2 linked regions of the Lonchura striata genome follow. The protein of the gene in region 1 interacts with the protein of each later gene in a pairwise test. Links are inferred from orthologs where the notes say so. Each region holds a gene or a part of one and is shown in the gene's direction. Other genes may lie near its edges. The genes, in order: CEP19 and CEP43.

Region 1 (12,003 bases):
TACATATATTTCATTTATATATGTTAAATACATTTTATATTCCTCCCCATCCCTCCTCACCTCTCCGTGCTGCCTCAGCCTCCCACCCCCAACCCCTCTCAGCTCCAGCTCATCTGCAGAACCCTGACTCCCCTCCCACCCTTGTCTCCTTCCCCAGGCACAGCTTTTAAGGAGCATTTTTTTTTTTTGTTGCTGTTTTTTGGGGGGGATTTTTTGTTTGTTTGTTTTCTTTGTTTTTGCTTTTGGGTTTTTTTTTTTTGGTTTTTTGTTCGCTTTGTTTTGTTTTGTTATACCCATTTCTTTGTGATTCAGAAAGCCTTAATTCCCAACACGGCCTTTAATGCCCCATCCCCTTTTCTATCCTTGCTCTGATTCAGCCCTTACACATATTAAGGATGGGGATGTTTGTGTCCAAGCCTTTTGGCAGTGTTTTCTTGCCAAGAACTCCTCAACACCTCGTTCCTGTCTCCAAAACTGCCAGAATTCTTGCACAGGATTTACAGCTCCTCCTCTGATTTCTGAGATCCCTCTGGGGCTGGCACTTGAATCCTCCTGCATGGCACACCTGCTAAATTCTGTGCTGCCTTAGTGACAGCAGTTTCTGCTCTGAGAGAGAGATTCACTGGCAATTTCCTTTGTAATTAACACTGCTATGGTTATCAGACTTATTTACAGTTTGTAAGGAAAAATGTGTCTGCTGTATTTACAATACAGGTGCTGTGGATTTAAAAACAAATATTTGCCACAACAAAAACCACCCCTTGTGAAGCTCTGCCATTCTTCTCATATTTTACATTAATCAGAATCAATTACTTAGGTTCAGTTGGAAAGGTGATTGACAGCAATCTTGATATATACTTTATTTCCATATTTTTCCACCTGCAATATTTTTTGTTTGCCCCGAGTACACTCCCATTCTCTTTCCCTAGGTTTTGTCAGGGATGTTGATGTAGCTGAGGGATTCAACCTGTGATTTTCAACTGGTGTTAAAAAAACAGGCAGTGAAGTCCTGTCCCTCAGCTCTGGCAATCTGGGATGTTGCCATTCCAAGGGTCAGGCTCCAACAGAGTTACCTACAGAGCACAGAAACAAACTTAGCCCTGGAAATTAAATATCCCACTTGGAGACAAGTGCCACAGTGCTGGTCCCAGTGCTAGCAGGGCTGAACAGCCCAAAAAAAGAATATATATGTATATATATATAATTTGTATTTATATATTTACTATATATATCCCAACCTGCCACGGAAGCAGTCACAAAGAATTCACTCTGTTGAATTCCAGCAGGAGAAAGATGCCCAAGGGACATGGATGAAAGGCTGCACACCGAGCCCTTGAAAGGAATTTTCGTTCACCCCTCGCACACACACACTCACCCAGATTAGCTGCTCTGAGTAATTTACTCGAGGTTTATCAGGGATAAAATGCATTTTCTCCACGCGGGGGTTCCCGTGGGCTCCCAGTGCCACCTACTGACAACTGCAGACAGCACCCGAGCTCTGCTGCTCCAGAGCCTCTCGGCTTTTCCATGAGGTAATTTCCTCTCCATTTCCTTCTATTTATCAGCTGTCCTGGAGATTAAATGTCCATCTTCTAAATATTTGCTTCTAGTCACTATCCTGTCCCTCACTTTCATCTTCCAAGGGTTTCTTTCCACTCATGAAATTTTTTCAAATTTTCTAAACTCTTTCAATTCTGACCAATTGTTCATCCTGAGAAAAGGAGGTTCAGGGGAACCTTCACTCTCTAAACTCCTGACAGGACATGGAGCCAGGTGGGGGTCGGGCTCTGCTCCCAGGGAACAAGGGACAGGACAAGAGGAAAGGTTCAGGTTGGATATTGGGAAAGGCTCCTCTTGGGAAGGGCTGTCCAGCCCTGGCACAGCAGCCCAGGGCAGTGGCGAGTCCCCATCCCTGCAGGGATTTCACAGACCTGTGGATGTGGCACTTGGGGACATGGGTTGAGAGTGGCTTTGGCAGCACTGGGGGATCTTACAGGGCTTTTCCAACCTTAATAACTCTGTGGTTCTAATTAGGCCAAGAGCAGCCAATTCCTCAGAGTCATTAGCATGGGAGAGATTATCAACGTGTCCCAGGTAGGCACAGAATGTCTCTTCACAAATTCATACATAACCCATCTGCACAACAAGCTTAAAATCCAGAAATTTTAATGATTCAGTAATGTTTTTCATACCCTTAATAACCAATCCCTGAGACAAGAAATACAAACACCGCTGCAAGAGGTACTGAAAGCAAGCTCTGGGCCAGGAGGAGGGAATAGGAGCCCCAAACCCACCAATGATTGTTGCCTCATTGCCCACAGCAGTGCTTTCAGCTTTTTGAGGCTTTTTCCTACTCTCCATCTGCTTTGGATATTGACAACACATCCAAAATGTCTTCTGGGCTGTGGAAGCCATTTGTAAACACTATGAGCCAAAGGAACTATAATGCTTATGGGAGCCTTGCACCCCCTAAGATATAAACAGCAGCAGGGTGGGATCCATTCAGGAGCCCAGTGCAATCTGCAGCTGGTTGTGCTGGGTGGAGGGCAGACATTCCACATTTCCTCAGTCACTGTGAGAAGTGTCCATACTTGCAGGCAGCAGCCAGGATGAGGCCAGAGCAGAGCCCTGTGGTGAGCAGGGTCAGGGCACACACCAGGGAACTGTGCTCCCTGAGCCCCACAGGAACCCTCAGCATCGATTCCTCATATGCCTACAAAGAAAAAATAAATATATATCACTCATTTGAGCTGTTTCTTTTTGACTGCAAACGAGAGGATGAGGAACCAGACCCTGATTTAATTAGCCCTTGGCTAAAGCTTCTTCTGAGATTCGGTATCAGAAGAAGGATGGGAAATCTTTTAATTCACAGCCACTGCTGCACTGCACAGCTCAGGAAATGGATCTGCTGCCATCTGTATCCCTGGATCTCTGCTCCTACTCCAGCCACTGAGGGAATGTCTGGAATGCTGCAGGGAGAGCAGCTCCCAAGGTGAGCTCAGATCACGAAGGAGACAGATTTCTCCAGAGTGAACAACCATTTGGTTTTTTCATTGATGCAGGAAGCTGCAAAATGTTTATGGACAACAGCTACAGAGGTACCAGTGGTCTGCAGGTATCTTAAATATAGGAAGGCACATGTGTTACAACAATAACAGACTATTTTATTATATAAATTAGTCTAATTTCTGAATCTCTACACTACCATGGCACTTTGGAACATCAACCACAGTTGTTGGCCACACTAAAGATCCAACTTTCCTTGGTTTTGAACACAAAAAGAAACTTCACCTTTTCCTAAACACTCAACCAAGTAACTACCAAGCAAAGAGGAGTGGCTTTATTTTGGATGCTACTACTTAAATCTTTGCAGTTTTACCATTACTTTAGCTAGATTATCTTCCACCTTGCTACTCCTCTGAAGCACCAATGTTGTAGAGACTTTTCTTAATTTGGCCAGGGCCAATTATATCCTAGGATTCCAAGTAAACTAGTAAAGGAAAAAAAAAAAAAAAGATCAGGAGAGCAGCCATGTTAAAGGGCCAGAAGAGCACAACCCCTGTAAACACAACAGAAGGGCAGGATGACCCCCACTAAAAGCCAGTCAGAAAGGAAAAAAGGAGCTGACAAAGAAGGAACCACCCAGCTAGTCTCTTAATGATTAATTCCTGTTAGGAAATAATTCTAAAAATTAATCTTGAAAGGTGTTAATCACAGAAAAAAGGCAGCAGTTGTTAAATAGAACCAGAGGGAGAACTCACGGGTCTGTGTTTTGTGGTGTGCCACTGACAGGGACTGTTGGTGTCAGATGAGCAGGGAGTGTCCACTTCAGCAGGTTCCCAGCACTCTGCAGACAGGTGCCCTAGGGAAGGCATTCCTGCATCACCAGGAGCCAGGCAGGATAAGCAATCAGCCTGCAAGCTTTTTCCAAATAAGGGATCTTTTCCTCTACAACAGCTCAACAGAATCTATTCCCTGGGAGCCAAGTGGTGAAACACCTCTGCATGGCCAAAGTGGCACTGGGCAGTCTTTGCTGTGGATTTTACAACTCTTCCCTTCCTGATACAGCAGGTACCCAAGAAAGAATCTCACCTGTGTGGTATCTTGCCCATTCTGTCCTTATCAGAGCAAAGAATTCCTGGTTAGCCTGCAGACCCCTCAACTTTAGCCATGTAGTTAGAATTTTTCACCAAAATAACTAAGTCCCCAAAATAAGTAAGGCCATTTGTCTTCTTGGCCTCCTGTCAGCACACAAAAGATCTCCCTTCCAATACTTTAAAACCTTCCCCATTAATCATTAATAATAAATGTTTTCCTGCTCATAACTAGTAAATGTGCCAGGAAGATTTAACACCCCTTTTCTAAGTGACCAGGTAGTCCTGCCTGTCCCTATGCTTATCCCAGAAAACCATTGCTCAAGTAAAGAAAAAGGACTTGAAAATCATTAGTGTGCTTGACTTGGCAGGAATGATTTTGTGAAGGGACACAAAATTTGTAACAAAATTATAGGGTTTCATTGTTCACATAACTTGAAATATTAATTGTAGTGGATATCAGGTGCTTGTTTCACCAGAGTTTGAGACTCCAACCATTCCAAGCTTCAGGCACAGTTTCCTACATTTCCCCTTTATATAAAGAGAATGCAGCAATAGTGTTAGAAGCCATCTGAATACTTTGATTACTCTAAATAGGTGACAGTGGCTACTGAACACACCCTGCACATCACCAGCTGCCAAGGGAAAAATGATCAGAGCAGGAGCCCTTTGGCAAACCAGGCCCTGCTGGGATGGTGACAAACACGGATCATGACAACTGCCACGTCTTCCAGCTGGAAGAGCCCAAGCAGCACAGGGGTGCAATGGCAGCAGCACAGCACAGAGCAGTCTGTGACACAGAGCAGACTCTGACACAGAGCAGACTCTGACACAGAGCAGTCTCTGACACCCCCCTGCCTTTGGCCAGCCCTCAGCGAGGAAGACAACGAGGTCTTTATCAGGGCCACGCCTCCCGCTTACGTTCCCGCAACTACCAAGAGCTCCATCTCAAACACAACCAGATTCGGGCTGGCCCAAGAGCATCAATGAGAATCTCACTGTGGCAGCAGCAGAGCAGCACCTCTGGGCTCTGCAGAGCCACCACGGCCTGGCGTGTCCCGCGGGCGGGCCGGTGGTAGCGCGCGTGCACGGGCACGGCGGCGCCGAAGCAGCGGGAGCAGCGCGCGTCCGGCTCCAGGAACAGCAGCAGGACAAGAGCCTCGGCCAAGTACTCGGGAGCCTCCACGTCAATGACATCAGGAAATAACATTGCCTGCAAGCAGGGAGAGATACAGGAGCGGTTTGATGGAAATCAAAAACCATTGCCCTCCCTCATGCTAACACTGAGATGCATTTTGTGGTCAGGATGATCAAGTTGGGAATTCCAGCCTTAAGCTATTCCAAAATACCTTTTCAAGACTGTCCTATGTGTGGAAAGTTCTTAGTGTCACTGTGCCTACAGCCAGACCTGTGAGGTGTCAGCTCAACGATGGCGTCAGCAAGGCCAGTCCTGCACCCCAGGCATGCCAAGGGCAGGAGCTGCCCACAACCTTTGCACCAATGTTTTAGACCAATGTAAGCAGATTAAAGCCACAGCCTTTGTACATCTCTCTAATGTGAAGCAAAGACTGGACAGCAGAACAGAAAGCTGGGATGGAAACTAAACTGGGAAGCTGCTCAGTCCAAACACACAGCACGTGACTTAGAGCTCACCAGCACCTCCTTGGGGGTTTCCCTTCCACCTTCTGAACCCGAGGCCCTCTTACCACAGCTGATCACCTGAGGCTAAGAGAGGAGCAGCAGCTCCCTGGCTCATCACCTGTGTGTGAGAATATCAGCAGCACCAGGGGATGCCAAGCGAGCTGAGTTACAAAGAGACACCAGAAGATTATATGGTTTGGCACCTCCTTCCAGGAATTAATCACCTTGCTTCAACAAGCCAGAAAATGACCAGACAATACAAGGCCCCGAGTCCTCACCTGACTCAGTGCCAGAGCTCGTGGTGCTGGGGCATTACCTTTGTCAGATTGTGCTGCTGCAGCGTTGCCAGCTCGTAGGGATCCACGTAGATTCCCGGCGGCAGACGCATCTGAGCTGCCACTGCACATCCTCCTGCATCCTCCCCCAGCTCCACCTTCACCAGCAGGTCCCTTCAAACAGCAACAGGAGCAAAAAACTTACACCCACACTTCAAAAGTGTGGCACAAGACCCCCGAGAGACATTTCTCAGAAGAGATGAGCTCTCACACCGAGTGCAACTAATTCTGACCACACTTCCCTGTCCAGCCTTCTTAACCTCAACCCCACATCCACGGCCAAAATGAAGTTTCACTTCTTTGTTAATGTCTCAGAACCACCAATGGCCTCCAAAAAAGTTTTAGAAAGGGGCCTCCTATTTTCCCTCCACTGCAGCTCGTTAATCCCTTGATCCTGTTAATGCATTCCCAGGAATCACAGCCCAGAGAGCTGATAGGGCTGCACAAGAAAAGAAGAGAGGCTCTTCCAGCAGAAAATCCCGTGGCACGTTATGCTGATGGAGGGCAGGGTGAGGACTCACCTGTGAAACCCCTCTTTCAGGAGCTCCTGTGTGACAGTGGTGTCCCGACAGGCTGCCTGCACATCTAAGGTGACACAGAGCCAACAGTGTAACAGCACAGCGACCACAGGGGCTGCAAAAACTTTATAACTCACAAACGCCTCATCTGCAAACCCCTTCCCTGAAGAAGGGAAGAAGTAATTGACTGTGATCAAAGCAGAACAGATTTCTTGGTTTGGGTTGGAAGACACCTTAAAGCCCATCCTGTTCCAACCCTCGGCTTCGAGCAGGAACCTCCCCGGGACCAGGGCACTCCAGGTCTGTCCTTGAACACTTCCAGCCACAGCCTCTCTGGGCAACCTGTGCCAGAGCCTCCCCACCCTCACAGGGAAGAATTCCATCCCAATATCCCATCCATCCCTGCCCTCTGGCAGTGTGCAGCCATTCCCCCTTGCCTGTCCCTCCACCCCTTGTCCCCAGTCCCTGTCCAGCTCTCCTGGCGCCCCTTTAAGCACTGGGAGGGGTTCTGAGCTCTCCCTGAATCCCTCCCTCCTCCAGGTGAGCCCCCCCAGCTCTCCCAGCCTGTCTGCAGAGCCCCGCGGTCCCCGCGGGTGCTCACGGAGGGCGCAGAGCAGCGCGCCCAGCGCGGCCCCGACCCGCACCGGGCCCCGCCGCCCGCCCGCCATGGCGGCGCTCCGCACGGCCGCGCGGGCTGCCCCCGCGCCGCCTGACCGCGCGGGGCCCGCCCACCCCTCGCTCCGCGGCGCCGTGTCCCGCAGGCTTTCCTGCGGGCAGCCCGAATGGGGCCTTCGGCGGAGGGGGCCTTTCTCGCTGGGGCTGGGCGCGGCGGCGGAGCCATGGCAACCGCGCGGAGAGGCGGGCCCGGCCCGGGACAGCGGCGGGAGGAAGGGGAAGGCGGAGAGGAAGGAGTGGCTTTGTGCGCCGCCTCAGGTGAGGGGACATGGCGGGAGTTTAAGGGAGACAGAGACATCCTGGAGCGGGGCCAGCACAGGCTGCGGAGGAAGGGCCTGGAGCATCTCTGTGCCCAGGAAAGGCTGAGGGAGCTGGGGCTGCTCAGCCTGGAGAGGAGCCCCAGCTGAGAGGGGCCTCAGCCCTGCCTGTCCCTGTGTGTCCCTGCCTGTCCCTGTCTATCCCTGCCTGTCCCTGTGTGTCCCTGCCTGTCCCTGTTTGTCCCTGTGTGTCCCTGCCTGTCCCTGTGTGTCCCTGTCTGTCCCTGTCTGTCCCTGTGTGTCCTTGTCTATCCCTGCCTGTCCCTGCCTGTCCCTGTGTGTCCTTGTGTATCCCTGCCTGTCCCTGTCTATCCCTGCCTGTCCCTGTGTGTCCCTGTGTGTCCCTGTCTGTCTCTGCCTGTCCCAGTGTGTCCCTGCCTGTCCCTGGGTGCAGGCAGGGCCAGAGCAGGGCCCAAGCTCTGCTCCGGGGCCCCAGCAATGGCACCAGAGCCACGGGCAGGGACTGAGCCCAGCAAGTTCCACCTGGACGTGAGGAAGAACTTTCCAGGGCAGTGATGGAGCCCTGAACAGACCCAGAGAGGGTGTGGAGCCTCCCTCACTGCAGATATCCCAGAGATGTCCGGACACAATGTGTGCCATGGGCTCTGGGATGGCCCTGCTGGAGCAGGGAGGTGGCTCCAGTGACCACTGTGGTCCCTCCCAGCCTGGCCCATCCAATTGTCACTATTAAGGACACTACTGCGTGTTTGAGGTCTTTCCTGTGTGATTTTTTTACAAAGGAGGAAGTGTTTCCAATTCTGCCTCAAAGTAGCTTTTCAACATTAATGTGATTTTTCTTGATGTGGAGAAACCCATTGATTTTTTGGGGGGTAAAATATGTTACTTTGCTTTACTGCAGTCTGGAAATCACCTTCATGTTTGACATCTTTGCAGTCATTTAAAAACAATTTTTATTGGTTTTAAACCAATACAAATACTAGTTTTTAACCAATTTATTTTATTCAAAATAAAAGTAAAAATAAAACACCTGTACTCAGTGCTGTCCACTGAGCTGGGAAACAGGATCTGCAACAGATTTGAATTTTTAAATCCCCTCTAATTTAATTTCATAATTCATTTCCCTGGGCTTTAAGGCCCATTGTGACCCAAAGCACTCTGGGGTTCTGTGATTTTGCTGAAGTGCTGACAACAAAGGCAGCACGGAGAGACTGTCGCAGCTGCTCTCCTTTCCCGTTCCCCAGGGAGCGCTGCTGCGCGCTCGGGCGGAGCCGCGATGACTTTCAGCGCTCAGAAATGCGGGGTCAGCTTCCAGCCGCCATCCATCGTCCTCATCTACAGAGACAACAGCCAGGACAAGACTCGCCAGCGCATCATGCCCGTCAGGAATTTCTCCAAGTTCTCAGGTGAGGGGCATTCATTCCGCCTGCATTCATTCCGTGTTTGCCTCCAGCTGCACGCACAGGAACCCATTGGTAGCAGCATCTGAGTGCCCTCCTAGCAGCGTGCAGGGAGGGGCTGTGCTGGGGTAATGTTGTCTCCCCGAGGAGCCCAAGGCTACATCTCAGCCTCTCTGAGCCTGGAGGGTTTGGAGAGACCCCTGGAGAGGGTTTGGGAGAGGATGTGTCAGTGGGAAGAGGTGTGCTGGAGCTGCAGGCCTGTGCTGGCTCTCCCCAGACTGCAGCAGGGCTGCCGAGCAGCTGAAGAACAACCCTCGGCACAAGGCCTACCTGGAAGGGGTCTCACTGCGCCAGCTCCAGAAGCTCTACAGCTTGCTGAGAGGTCATTTGGAAGGACAGAGCCTGGCTGAGAGCTTGGAAAAGTTCCAGCAGGAAGAGACCATTGACCCAGAGGAGGATATGAACAAACTGGATGACAAGGAACTGGCCAAAAGGAAGAGCATCATGGACGAGCTCTTTGAAAAGAACAGGAAGAAGAAGGATGACCCTGACTTTGTTTACAATGTTGAGGTGGAGTTCCCCCAGGATGAGCAGCTGGAGTCCTGTGCTTGGGACACGGAGTCAGATGGAGAAATCTGATTCCAGACGAAGATGGGCAGTTCGGAGACAAATCTGTGTCCCAGCAGAGAGAACAATGCCATCATATGTTGGCTCAGGAGAACTTGAGGTGCCACAGCAATCCCAGGCTTAAGTGAGCTCTGTTTAAGAAGCCAGACTTGATTAAATGGAAACTGCATAACTGAAATTGTTGGCTGCCTTTAGTCTTTTCCTACATAAAATAATTTTAAATTATTTAATCTTTCAATTTTTTACATTTCAGTCAGCTTTGGCTGAAAATGAAGCATTAAATATTCATGTCCTGAGGACACTGTTAAAGCTGTACTGTACAAATAGGGTGATTATTATTGCCTGTTGGGAAGTTAAATATGTATCAGTCATTCTGGATAAATCAACTCTGCATTGAGAATATTACTCTTACATTTCTCTAGCAATGCTTAAATCTTCAGTTTTAGCTTGCACAAAAATACATCCTTACATGTAAGAGAAGGAATATCTTGAAAATTAATTAGTCTTGAAAGTACTTTTGAAAACACAGTGATTTCAAACTGCTTCAGTGGGATGATTGGATCCTTACACTCCTGGGTAATGCTTCCTCATAAGTGCTCAGTTCTGGGAGAATGTGCCTAAAGTATCTGAAAAACCAGAGTGGTAGAAGATCAAAGGCTGGGGGTGGTTCTAAAGTAAGACAAACTCATCCCACGGAAGGTTTTAATCCTGCTGTCTACCTTGCCTGGTCTCTACTAGATCAGTCCTGCTCTCAGGTAAGAACTGGAGGACTAAGATTAGGATTTTTTGGGAAATTTTACTACTCCAAAAGCTTCCTGGGTTTTGGCTTTCTGAACCCAGGCAGCTGTGAGGGCTGTGGGTGAGATGGACCTTCATCCCAAATGGAGTGGCCTCAACAAACTTCTGCCTGACATAACTAAGAGGAGTGGCTGGAGGAGCAGCTGGAAGAGCTCTCCTCCTACAGGCTAAAATGAGTGGCTGCTATGAAAGTCATGAAGCAAGTGTCAGTTAAGCCACAGTTAAGCTTTGCTGTCACTGGAGAGGATGAGGGAGCTCACACTTGGCCAAGGAGGTCTTCAGTCAGGAGAGAAATGAAAGCTGAGGCCTCACTTGCCATAACTAAAAAAATGTAAAGGCTGACTCAGCTCTCCCAGAACCGGAAAGGGCATGCAGGGGTCTGGCACAGGCCTTGCCTCCACAATTGCAACATAACACCACAGAAAGATCTCCCACTTGGGAGGGAGAGGGTCCCTGAGAACATTTCCTCCACTTCCAGCCTGCCCCCAGCTTCATCCTGACCAGGGCATGGCCTGTGCCCAGCCCCAGGCATGGCCTCCTCTCCACTGAGGGCTACATGAGGCCTGAGTGCCTGGATTGTGAGGTTCGTGCTGGCCTGCTCCCCCAGCCCACCCCAGACCTCCAGCAGGGAGCCATACTGGTCTTCCCAGTTTGGGATCCTCAGGGAACTTGGCAGGAAGGCACTTCACAGCCAGCTTTAGGTCATGCATATAGACATGAGATGAGACAGATCCCAAAACAGTCCCTCAGCAGCCTCCTGGTAGAGCACATCCTACCAGCCACAGCCCCACAGCCCTCTGCACTTCACTCCCACTGATCCTGACCTGCCTGGCTGCTCACCAATCCAGACTGTGACATCTGCATTTGCATGGAGAACGCTGTGGGACTCTGTGTCCAAAGCCTTGCTGAGCACACGGAATCCACCACTCTCCCCTTGCCTACAGATCCATCCATTTCATCTTAGAGGAAAGCAGGTTGGGCAGGCATAACCTGGTCTCAGCAGTCCATGCTGACTTCTTCCAACCACCCTCTTTTTCTAGGACTGTGCTCCAAACAAAGAACATTCATTCCACAGTTTTCCCAACAAGAAGGTGTGTGGTATTCACATTCTCTGAACAGAGAAAGACATGATTCTCTCTCCCAGGATTTTTCCTGGAAAGCTGTGAGACGCAGTGAAAAAGCTCAGAGAAAGAAGAAAACAATTCTTATCTCTATTTACTGCACCTGTTGTTTGGCACATGTGGGATGTGTTATGGAGATTGTTTACCAAAGAGGGATTTGTTAATTGGACACTGGTGATGGTTGTTTGGATGGATTGGCCAGTTGGGTCAAAGCTGTGCCATTCCTGGAGACAGCCACGGGTTTTCTTTAGTATCTTTTTAGTATGATATAGTTCTAGTATAGTATTAATGTAATATAATTTAGCTTAATAAAAGCAATTTATTCAGCCTTCTGCAACATGGAGTCAGAGCTCGTTATTCCCCGTGCAGGGGTGTCACACTGCTCCAATAAAGGTGACTGCCCCATTCTCTCTGGGATGGCCTTTTGGCTGTTTCTGAAGCTGGGTGAGACCCTTGGGTTCTCCAGTCACCAAGGACCTTCCCTGATCACCATGGCCTTGCAAAGACAGTGAAAGCAGC
Region 2 (11,710 bases), on another chromosome or scaffold:
CCCAGCAAGCATTATAGCATTTCCTTTGATGTAAGTTGGTAGGCAGAAAGAGGCTTTTTTTTTAGTGACTAAGTTGCAAAAAAAGCATAAAAGCAATTGTATCCCTTCTCACTGGACTCATGCTTGTTCAAGTGATGACTAGGAACAGAGAACAGGGCTTCAAAAAATGCTGCTATCAGAGCAGCAGAAGGTGCTGATTTATTCTATATATTGTTCTGAACCCTGGAAGCAGAACATATAGCAACAAAGCAAGTTTAAAAGCCCCCAGTCTGTAACTTTCACTTTTTTCCCCCCGATAAACAATACATAAACTCTAAGGATTTAGCTCAGAAGACAACCTTGCAGCTACCACAACACTATCGAAACAGACTTCTTTATTCAAGGTGACCTTTCATTTATCTGTGACATGGATGGTGACAAGTGAAAAGTGCATCAATCTCACCTTAAAGGCATCTGAATGATGTGCATTTGAGGAAATACATGCATCCATATGAGCTGTATTAACAATTAAGATGCATAGATCACATACATTTTTAATAAAAATTGCTTCTGTTTACTAAAAATTACACTAGATTACTAATTTAATTAACAGAAGAACAGATTTAACAAATCTTACACCAACTCTCCTCTAATAAGAAACAGTGATTTCTTATTATGAAAGTTACATAAAAACTCAGAAAGTTCCAAAAGATTCATAACATTGAAAACTGAAAACTTCAAAATAAAACCTGCACACATACGTAAAATTATTACTTGACACTAGGTGATCAACATTATTTTCATTATGGATAAAATTCTAAAGTGCAATAACAGCTTTGGGATTACTCTTGATAGGAATGCAAAACACGTGTTTCTGTGTGTGTTTTAGTAACCCAGTCAGGGCAAGGTCACTTTCAGTTATGTTAGCATGGTTCCATGCTGTTTTCAAAATTATCTGCCCAGGCTTATCAAACACTAGAGAGAACTCTTAATAAACACTGAAGAAACCCTCCTTTAACACATTCACTATAGTTTGAATTCTAATATACCATCTAGAGCAAAGTGCTGATGTAGCACATGCTTCTTTTGGACTCTAGCTATTGGTCACCTCTTATTTTACTTGCTTATTTTCTTTCTGTTTTGCTTTTAACAATTAGCTTTACTAGCAAACCTCTCCTTAATATAAAATCTCCTGCTCTACAGTTTAGTTCAGCGTGTAAAATCAGAAGAGAAGATGCTGCAGAAGAGCATTCAAGCATCAGCAGGAGATGCCCATGATTATGACATAGCATGCACGCATGCTAAATGCCGGCAACAATGTCCAGAGATAAGATTTAGGACTGTTAGCCTGGCATCTAAAGCCACAAAAATGAATACCCAGAGCTTTGGTAGCATCCATAACAAGTCAGCATGCCATGTGTGGCATCTGCCACAACGAGTTAGACAAACCAAGTCACAACACTGTAAGGCAGAAGCACTAATTTAATTTATAACAACGTTCTTAGCTCCGGCAACTTTCACCTCCACTGTCCACTCCCAGCTAACCATGCATCCCAAGCCCAAGTGCTGGTCCGAGTAACTGCAGAAGGCTCTTCGAAGCCTTTTCAGAGGCAATACTCACGCCCACCGCCACGGCAGGATTTCAGCACTGCCCCTCTCACGGCCTTCAGTGCGGCGGCTGAGCGGTGTCGGGGTGAGGCTGGAGGTAGCAGGGGCTGCGCTCAGCCCCGCCGGCTTCCTGGAGAAGCAGAAGAGAAAACTGATAACTTGTAACTTGTAACAACTGTAACTTGTAACTGATAGCATGTAACTTGTGCCGCCGAGCACGGCACCCAACACACGGCTCTGCTCCGGCACCGATGTCACCGCGACAGCAGAAAGCTTTACTCAGATAAACCATCACCACAGAGGCGTCTGCACAAACTGTAAAGAATGCAAATCTCCTAAGCACCGGAAGCGAGAGGCCTCCAGGCGACAGGAGGATGCCAGACCTGATGTAAAGTGTAAAAAAAACCCTAAACAACTATTAAGAGTTTTCCCGCCTCTGGGAAATGCCACTTGTTTGGCTGACTTACGGATTTAAAGCATAGGAAGTGAAAGCAAACACAATCTGAGTCCTAGGCCTGCAAATCCCACGTTTGCAGTTGGCGCAGCTGAGGATCCCAGGGGCAGAGAGCCACTCTCCCACAGAAAAGCCTACTCAGAAACACCGCGGGCGGGCCGAGCCGCAGCTCCCTCCTGCCCGGCTGCCACCGCGGGAGCGCAGCCCCACGGCTGCGGGGGCAGGGGGCGGGAAGAGGCAGCCGAGGCAAGCCGGAGCAAGGACACACTCTCAATTCCGACCTCCGCTGCCTCGGGTTCAGACCTCACCGCGCCGCGCACCCCCGGGCCCGCGTTACCTTCCTGCGCTGCCCCGGCGCTGCCCTGCCCGGCACCGCCCTCTCGCAGCTCTGCGCACGGCCCCGCCCCGGAGCGCGGGGCGGCACCGCCGCTCCCCGCGGCCCGCCCGCGCTGGCGGCGGCCCCGCGGTGTCCCCGGAGCCGCCCCGGAGCCTCCCCGCGGCCAGCCGGGTACCGCGGGAGCGGGGCACTGTGAGCGCGGGCAAGAAAGGAGCGGTGCGCTGCGGAGCAAGTGATTTGTGTGGGTGGTTGGCTCGTCCTGCTGCTTTGGTTGGTTCTTGTTTAGCATAGTAAAGGTGTTAGTTTCATACTGAGCTTTTGCGCGGCACAGAGGTCTTCGAGAGTGCGATGGGGACTCTAAATCGGACACTACTGACTAATGCCAGCCCAGGAGCTGACACAGGCGTCTGTGGCGTGCTTCTCCAGATAGAGAAGTTTGAAGTGGTAACAACTCGTGTTTGGAAGCAGTAGGAAGTTCCTGAGGAAGGAGCCCCAAGGGATGAGTCAGAACTTGGTTCAATATTTTCTCAGCGGTACGTTAAACTATGAAACATATTCTAACCCTTCTTTCTCTGCCGATGCATGGGTCATAAATACAAAGTGTGATTTTTAATTACTATCATGTAGTTTTGAACTACAAAGGGTATGTTACAACCATCCTACAATAATGTACTTAAGAAATATGTGGGCAGATCTGCTTCCACAAGCAAAATAACATTTGTTTTAAACAGATTAATTACAGTCTTTGTAATAAGGTCTTTGTTCAACATCTCAGTTCCATAAACTGGTAAAAAAATTAATTATGTTTTCATATTTACATGGTAGGAAGGAGGATGAGGCAAAACTAATCTCTTTACCTACCTTTCTGTGGAAAGGAGAAAATACGTTGGATGGAATGAGTGATGCATGGGTGACTAAGAGGTACCAAAAGCTTCAGAAATTTTCTCGAAGAATGAAAAATAGTGAAAGTCTCCAGATCCTGGTAAGCAGTGCGGCTCTTCCTGCTGCTGAGGACACCAGGGCACAAGTTTGATGTGGATGCAGCTGGGGTCTGGAACACATCCTCCGATGTTAAGATTTTTTGCAGTCAGCCATCCTGTGGCCCTGAGCACAAACTCCAGCCCTTTTCCCTGGGAAAGAAAACTCACCAGTCCAGGTCCCTGATGTCAGGTAGGGCCCCATTGGGACTGTCAGAGCAGCACAAGTTTGAGGTGGGGTCAGCTGGGGTCTGGGACACATCCTTCGATGTTTGGATTTTTTGCAGTCAGGCACCTGATAAAGGCCAGGGTGCTCTGAGCACAAACTCCAGCTCTTTTCACTGGGAAAGAAAACTCACCAGTCCAGGTCCCTGATGTCAGGTAGGGCCCCCTTGGGACTGTCAGGGCTCCGTGTGGCACTAAAGTCTTTGTCACTGCCTATTAAATCAGAACATAAGCACACCGAGTTGTTTTATTAGACTGAATCTATCTTTGTAGATTAGGGGTGAAAACACTGGGCTGCAGTGCACACACTTTTGCTAATTTGCTAATCTTGTTTGAGTTGCAACAGGGATTTGCTCTCTGACTGTGCCAAATTACCACTTTGCACTTTGTGCAAACTAATCTTGTTTACAAGTTTCCCATTAGGGTGATTACAAAGTGAGTCCAAAGCTACTCAGAAATAGTGTAGGCTTTAATATGTCCTATGGACAAAGAAGCCAAAATTTTATGTTACAATATCATAAAATAGTGTATGTTATTAAAAAAAATGTTTTTGTGAAATATGCAAAGATAGACAATGGACAGCTACACTGGATAACTATCTCCTTAAGACTTTCATATTTGTCTGTCTACTATGATCTTTTGTTTCTCTTTTGTCTTTTATCTCCTGATGGCTGCCTATTAGCACTCATGATGCTTTTAAAAAAATGAGGAAATGTCAGAATATTTGAGAAGTTTCCTTTGAATTTCATGAAAATTATGTTCTCCTCAAAAAATTCTGAACAAATGTGGTAGTACCCTCAATTTCTATGTTTATATGCTGAAATATGTAGCCTGAAAAAAAACCAACCCAAAATTAGTTGAAACACTTCAAAGAATACATTTTTCCAGCTTTCAGCAGTTTACATAAGGATTTAAGAATCAAGACAGAGACTTTCAGATTTTTTTCTCCATAACACAATGTTGTTTTGCTTTGATTATTCCCATTGCGCAAATAGAAAAAACAAATCCAGCTAGACTTTATTCCTAAAAGTGTGGTAAATAAACATTTACAATACTCTGAGCAGATACACACATTTTGGAATATATGTATATTCTCATGTCCTAATTTTAAATCAATAGACTTAGTCCATGGATTATTTTAAAGCTTGAATTTTATTTAAATTGTGTTAATAGCCTGTAGCTATGTGTTTCTATGATTTCCACAGAGTTGACTTGAGAATTACATAAATTCAAAACTGAAACATTTCCTTCAAATGTGAAACAGTTTGGGGCAGTGCATTGCAGAAGGACACTGGACTGTGCTTTGCTTCCCTCAAGGTGATGGATATTTAGCTATATAGTAGTCTGCTGTTTTGCAGAGCTCAAAAAACATCTGTAGAATGGATTCAAAATATTCTACGTGTATTTGAAAGCTGGCAGGCACAGTTTATGAAATGCTAAATGAATCTTACAAATTATAAACTATCTTCTAAGTCTACTGATTTGTCTTCCTCTGCTCTATCTTTTCTTCATGAATTATTTTATCAAGTGGGTTTTGTCTTTCCATTAAGTTTAGAGATCTAGTGAACAAATAAAAATAACTGTATCACCAGACATTATCTTTCTCTCTCTACTATTTATTTCTGACATGGTTTTGAAAAATTAAATTGAAGGAATTGTTAAGTGCTTAAGTACAGTGTTGTGGGTTTAACACAATTTTATTCTGAAGTGAAAGACTCTTCAATTCAAAATACAATACTATATTGTTTGGGCAGCTGTGGGAATGGGCATAGGACTCCAGCAGTACCTCCCATGTGTCCAGCAGAAATGGGGTGGAGTGGTGGACACCTGTCCTCACAGGCTTGGCCAAGTCTGTAGAGCATCCCTGAACAGTCGGTGAACGTGTTTTAAAACCAGCCTCCCGCAGAGCCCTGCTTCGCCCGGGAGCTGTACGTGCTCCCTTGGAGCATTCCTTACTTACTTTCCCGATTATTTGTCATATATTGGACTTCTCTTCAATAAAAATTATAAGCACTTCAGCATGGAAAAAAAATTGCCACATGTAGTTGTGCAGAGAAAGCATTACAATTTACAAAGCTTTTTGTTTTAAGGAGCAACAACGAACATGGTTATTACGAAACGAGGGCTCCAGAAGCCCCCCTTGGCGCCGTTGAGCGCCAGGTGCCCTTGCGGGCAGCAGGGCAGGCGGGTGAGCCCTTGCCCGGAGCCCACGGCTGCCGTCAGGAGCCGCTGGAGCGAGCGTGGCCACGGAACGGGGCTGGGCTGTTCACCCTGCAGCCCGAGCACAGAGCGGCTGCAGCTGCCCGGCGTCGGAGCTGTCCTAGCGCTTCTTGAACTTTGACCGGCTCGGTGTGTGACCACTTCCCCGGGGAGCCCTGGGGGACCTGCTCCAGTGCCCAACCACTCTCTCGAGGAAAACATTTTCCTAGTATCTAACCTAAACCGCCCGCGACTCAGCTTCATGCCATTCCTTCGGGTCCCGTCACTGATCACCAAGAGATGGATGCGTGCCCTTCTGCTTCTCCTTGCGAGGAAGTTGCAGACTGTGTTGAGATCTCCCCTCAGTCTCCTCCAGGCTGAACAGACCCAATGAGCTCAGCCGCTCCTCGTACAGTTGCTTGGGTTCGAGCGCGGCGGGAGAAGGGGAGGCACTCGGGGCGCGTCGGAGGGGCCGCTGGCGGGCGCGGGCGGCCGCGCGGTTCGGCCGTTACCGCCGCCCCCGCTTTGAACTTCCCGCCCGCCGCCCGCGCGGCCCGTTCGCCGCCGCAGTTTCCAGCCTCAGCGGGCGGCAAAAGCGCCGGGCGGCCGCAGCCTCTCTGCGTCCCCTCTCGGGGCGGGGCTGAGGGCGGCCCCCGTCCCGGTCCGCTCCGTTCCCCCGGGTCCGCCCTCGGCTGGCGTCTCCGGCGGCAGCGAATCTGCCGGGCCGGTCCCGCCGCTAGTGCGGTTTGGGCCGTTGTCAGGGAGAAGCAAGATGGCGGCCGCGGCGACGGAGGAGGACACGGAGCTGCGGGACCTGCTAGTGCAGACGCTGGAGAGCAGCGGGGTGCTCAACAAGATTAAGGTGGGCGAAAAAGGGCCTCCCGCCGGCGGGGCGCGTTGGCTGGCTCTGGCGGCGCTTCGCGGCCCTGCGGAGTGTGGGAGGACCCAGGCTTCCCGTGCTCGCGCCCTCAGTCCCGCTTGCGGCCGGTGTTCCCGGCTGGAGCGCTCCCTCGGCGTCGCGGCCTGGAGGTGGCGCCTGCTTTCCCCGTGGCGTTCCCCGGTTGCTCGTGGTGGAGCCGGTGCGCCGGCCCGGGCCTGACCGTGTCACGGGAATTGGGGATGTCCCGGGCGGGCAGGGCGAGGGGGGCGCGGGGCCGCCGGGGCTCCCGCGCTGCCGCCGGACTGGCTGGAAGCAGTGGCTGCGGCGCGGTGCGGGACGGGGAGGGTGAAGTTAATCCCTGCTGCCCTTACGGAAAGCCTTACGGAAAGCCCTTACTGAAAATTTCAAGCAGCAGTTGTTGTGGGTCGCTATTTAAGCAGTTGTTCTTCTTAAGTGTGGGTTGCTTCAGTTGTGCCTTGAAGGCTTGCTAAGTCTGGAAGCTCTCGGGGGATGCTGCCTGCTTACAGGGAACATTTGTTCCCTGGATGCTATGTTAAGAAAATATACGGAAGATAATGGAGTGCACGCTACTACTGAGTCTGGTGCAGCCTGAGCTTGTGTCAGAAAGGGTAGGAAAATTGGTTCCATGGATTCTTGTTCAAATTAAAAGCTTCTAGGAGTAATTATTGTGTATAACATAGAGCAAGTTTCCTTCAAAGTTGGAGAAATAAAGTGTAGCTTTCAGATAAGGGATGGTGGTGTTTTTCCACAGTGCTGTTTTAAGTCTCCAGAGGTCGTTGCTGGTATTTCAAGAACAATTCAACAACTGAAGTGATTTATGGAAGTGAGAGCATCCTTGTGTATGTACTTTCAAGTTTACTGTATTTTGAACTAGTCATACATTTCAGCAAAATAATAATCAAAATAACGTTGTTGATCCCTTTCAAATTAGATGTTCCTTATTTAAGTTCTGTAAGAGAATGAAGATTCTAGCTCAAGTAACTGTGTGCAGAGTAGTGAAGCTTTTCTAATGGATGTCAGATAGGCCTTTTGGACCATCTGTTAAACACTCATCTACTATTAAATAATGCAAGTATGGTGATAGTAAAATTGTAATTTAAAAAAGCATGGCAAGGCAATTGGGTCACATGGAGCTCGTGAACCATAATTTCTTAATTCCCACCTTTGTGTAGTATGGGAAATTTCATACTGTGGTTGCCAGTCCATTGAGTTTTATGTGAGTAAATTTATTGTAGTTCAGTATTGTATCATGCTTAGAGTGTGTGGTATCCAATACTGTCTAAAGTGCCGTTACGGCAAATTAGCAAATGACTTAGAAAAATACAAAACACAGCCTCCTTGCCAGATGATGTCTCTCCTTAATACAAGGTGCTACTGTTTAATAACTGGTGTGCTTACGGCTAAGGCTTTTGACTGGAAGAACTCATGCTAGTTTTTTTCTTAGCTGTAAACCTTAATTGGCGTGTGAGTTTGGTGAGTGTTGTTTGGCAGTATTAATGACTTAGATTTTGTTCTACTATAACTTGTCAAAACCCTGTTGCTGGAAGAATTTAGATTGAACAAGGCTTTTTAAGCTGTCATCTTTTACTTGAAATTAGATTACACCATCCATTAAAAAAAGTTGCAGTCATCCTTTTATTAAAATTAGTTAAACTTGATTTTTTCAATAGTGCTCATCTATTACATGTCAATATTTTTTTTTTTATTATGTGGTACAACTGAACATTTACATATTATTAAAACTGATGCCTGTTTCATACTTTAGAATGAGAACTGACCATTTTTCAAGATGGATGAGGCTAGAAAGCTACAATAAAGTATTTATGATTTATTCAAGTAGCTACATTAAGGAGAAAAATATGTGATCAATGTATAACTGCATTGGTATGAAGCACTGGAAGGATTAGAATTCAAAGGGAATTATTTCAGTGCATGGAATGTATCAGGGTGTCACACATTTTGTAACATAATGAGAGTAATTTTTAGAAATAAACTTACTGTCATAATTTGGTTCTCTACTAAGATACGCTTTTATAATGGCTTGCAGTTTATAGTTTATTCTTATTTTGATAGTTTCTTGGGTGCATTGTTGTTGATGTAAATTATTTAGCTAAAAATGTTACTTATATGACATTTAAAAATTTATTTATATTTTTTATTTGTCTTAAACTTTGAGCACTGAAGTAATTATAAAGTAATATTTTGAAAACTGGAAGTTGTATGAATGTATTTACTGCTTGCAGTTGAGAAGTTCCTATATTCTCTAAAATGCAATATGTGTGTATATGTGTATACACACACATAAATGTTTGTATATAGTACTGATGTATATTATATGTAGTTTGTTGATCATTGGAATTAGTCTGATGAATGAAACAGCTTTCTAATGAATTCTGTAAACACACAATATAACTGTAGATATTTGTATGCTAGTGAAAATTATCACTGTTTCTGTGTGATAGTGTATAAATAAGGGTGTTCTGTCTTGAAGAGAATGTGATCTGTCTCCTAGGAAGGCCGTCGTCATCTGAGCAAGAGGAGCCATTATGCTTCTTGTATGTTTCTTTGTTATCTTATTTTGTTTTGGTTTATATATTTTAATCTCTTGCTTTGGAATAATTTAAATTTATATTACCTGAATTTTTCATCTTCTCTGGAACTTGATGTTGCTACAGTTATGTGAGGGGAGCTATCATCACTGAGGTCATATGACATCACTAGTAAAGCTTTTGGCCCAGTGGTACTGCTAATTTCTTATTAATTTGCTTCAAAACCTGGATGCCTGAGGTACAAACTCAGTGCAAGTAATGTGATGTTTGAGGGAATAAAAGTCCTATTTTTTAATATGAGCATGTGCACAGGTCAGTTAAAATTGTCCTGTTTGCTTTTGCATCTTCGATCCATGTATGGTAATGAACAGTGCTTTTAAATGTCTTAGAATTATTAACTGTCATGATGAATGTGCTGTGAACTGCAGTGTAGCCTCCTGTTTTCTTCATGTTGTGAAGTGTTGTTTGTTTTGAAGCAGTTCATACTAGAAAGTCAACTTAATATCTATTTCTTTTTAGTTTTATATGTCAAGTAAAATATAACCATTTTTAATTATTTCAGACTAACTGTAATTCAACATTTAAATGTCAATATGGTCCTCATCATAGTCTCAGGGAGGAGTCTAAGTATGACTGGTTCTACTCCTAGTCCAGGACTTTGTTTATTTCTAGATTATGTGTGCATAATCACTCCTTTATGTCACTTAGCCACGATTGCAAAGTTTCAGCATACCCACCACAGGCTCAAGGATGAGAACCTTTACAGATTTTGCAGATGGAGATTACAGGAAGGGTATTACTGAGTAATGTTGGTAGAGATGTTCCTGGTTATGGTTAGACACCAGCCTTGGATTTGCATGTAGACTGGGAGAGGTGTTTATCCTGGTGCACACAGAGGTTTAGGGTTGATCACCAGCAGTTAAACAGCTCAGTGTTCAGCCATGTCTCTTTCCAGAGCAGTGCATCTGCTCTCTATCTACCAAGGTGTATGACAGTTGTTTTGGAGTTAGGAAGTGGAGATACTGAAAGTTGTGCCAAAGGGTGCCCATGTGCCACTAAATTTTACAAATGCAAGAGATTGTTTATGCTTGGGCATGCATGGGGCTGTTCCACAGTGCTGGTGCAGGTGGTGGTTACACATTCCTGTGCTTTAGCTGGCAGGTATCTGAGAAATCTTACTCATTACTTTAATCATTTCACTTCCCTAAACCACACATTTAACCACAGCATCCTCTGATGCACATCTTGTGAGTGCAAGTTTACAGGAGATTTTGCACCTCCAGCTGGCCCATTGCAGATCTCTGAAGTGTCTCCCATATTGTCACTTACTGAACTTGCCTACCCCTTGTTTCTTAGGGAATACACAACGCTGCCTGTATGGCTTCAAAAACTGTGTTCAGCTTGCTGAAGTGGGTTTAGAGGAGTGGTAGCATATGCGTTTGACAGGCTGAAATTTATATTATGGTTTCTGATGAGTCTTGGATGAAAAAAGAAGCCCAGGACTTCCTCTGCAAAAGCTGCAGAACTCTTAAGGGTTTGTAGAAATGTTGAGAGATGCACAAAGCAGACAGCAAGGCTCTGTTAGCTAGCAGACAATGTCATACTCACCTGTGCTACAGGTACAAAGCAGTTTATGAAGCTCAAGTTCCCACTTTTTTACCTAGTATTCCACAGCATTTGGAGATCAGTGTTGGGAAGCCATTGCTCATTCATATGAAATATTGCCCCAGCAAGAGAAAATACGGATAAAGCTTGATAGGAAAAAATATTTTGATGATGTCTCTTTGGAAGGTGTTGGCATATTAGGATTGAAGGCGAATTGTGTAGCTGTACAAAGGAGACAGTGCAAGGAGCAAGCCATATTCAGATTTTGTACTTACTATAAGAAATCATCTTAGCCACTGATGTGCTTACATGCTTTGAGGTGTAGGAATGTGCTTCAAGTTTACAGGTATTTTCCTGTTGGAAAATATTGTCTCAAGTTTTGTCTTAAGAAAATCAGATCTCTTGTTTAAGTCATGGACAAATCTATTCTAGCACAATCAAAGACAAATACTACAAAAAAACCCAAAAAACCCCCAAAAAAACCAAACCAAAAACACCCACAAAAAAAAAAGAACAAACACCCAACCAACCAACTAACCAATCAAAAAAACAACACCCAGAATGTCTATGGACTTGCTAAATATTATACATTTTGGAGTCTGCAAGTGGGAGGTAGTTACGGGTTACAGGTAATCATTCAGTTCTGAATGGTCTCTGTCTCATCCTTTCACTTTTCATGCAATATCTGCTGTGTAAGATTCTGTGGATGGCTTTACAAGCATACTGAAAAATCAGACTGATAACCTTGCTAATGCAGGTGCTGGTTGTCTTCCTATTAAAAGTACATTTCCAAATTAGATTGACATTTTTTGAGGTGCCACCTAAAAAGTGTGTTTGAGGACCTCTTGAGATAGTAAGAATTGTTATCCTCTTTTT

Evidence for each region.
Region 2: the proteins of CEP19 (region 1) and CEP43 interact in binary tests that used the Homo sapiens proteins (3 or more experiments, as listed by UniProt). The two-hybrid records come from large-scale screens. The link is inferred for Lonchura striata from reciprocal best matches to the Homo sapiens genes CEP19 and CEP43.

Annotation. Positions count from the first base shown.
Region 1 is NC_134612.1:5,289,630-5,301,632, reverse strand, and holds CEP19 (centrosomal protein of 19 kDa), read left to right. Parts: upstream 1-7,417; 5' UTR 7,418-7,427; coding exon 7,428-7,521; intron 7,522-8,782; coding exon 8,783-8,944; intron 8,945-9,215; coding exon 9,216-9,577; 3' UTR 9,578-11,821; downstream 11,822-12,003. Other genes in the region: PIGX (GPI alpha-1,4-mannosyltransferase I, stabilizing subunit), read right to left, coding at 2,570-2,713, 3,762-3,862, 5,094-5,307, 6,052-6,184, 6,592-6,655, 7,190-7,256. UniProt on the Homo sapiens protein: Required for ciliation. Recruits the RABL2B GTPase to the ciliary base to initiate ciliation.
Region 2 is NC_134605.1:39,037,778-39,049,487, forward strand, and holds the start of CEP43 (centrosomal protein 43), read left to right. Parts: upstream 1-6,383; 5' UTR 6,384-6,551; coding exon 6,552-6,641; intron 6,642-11,710. UniProt on the Homo sapiens protein: Required for anchoring microtubules to the centrosomes. Required for ciliation.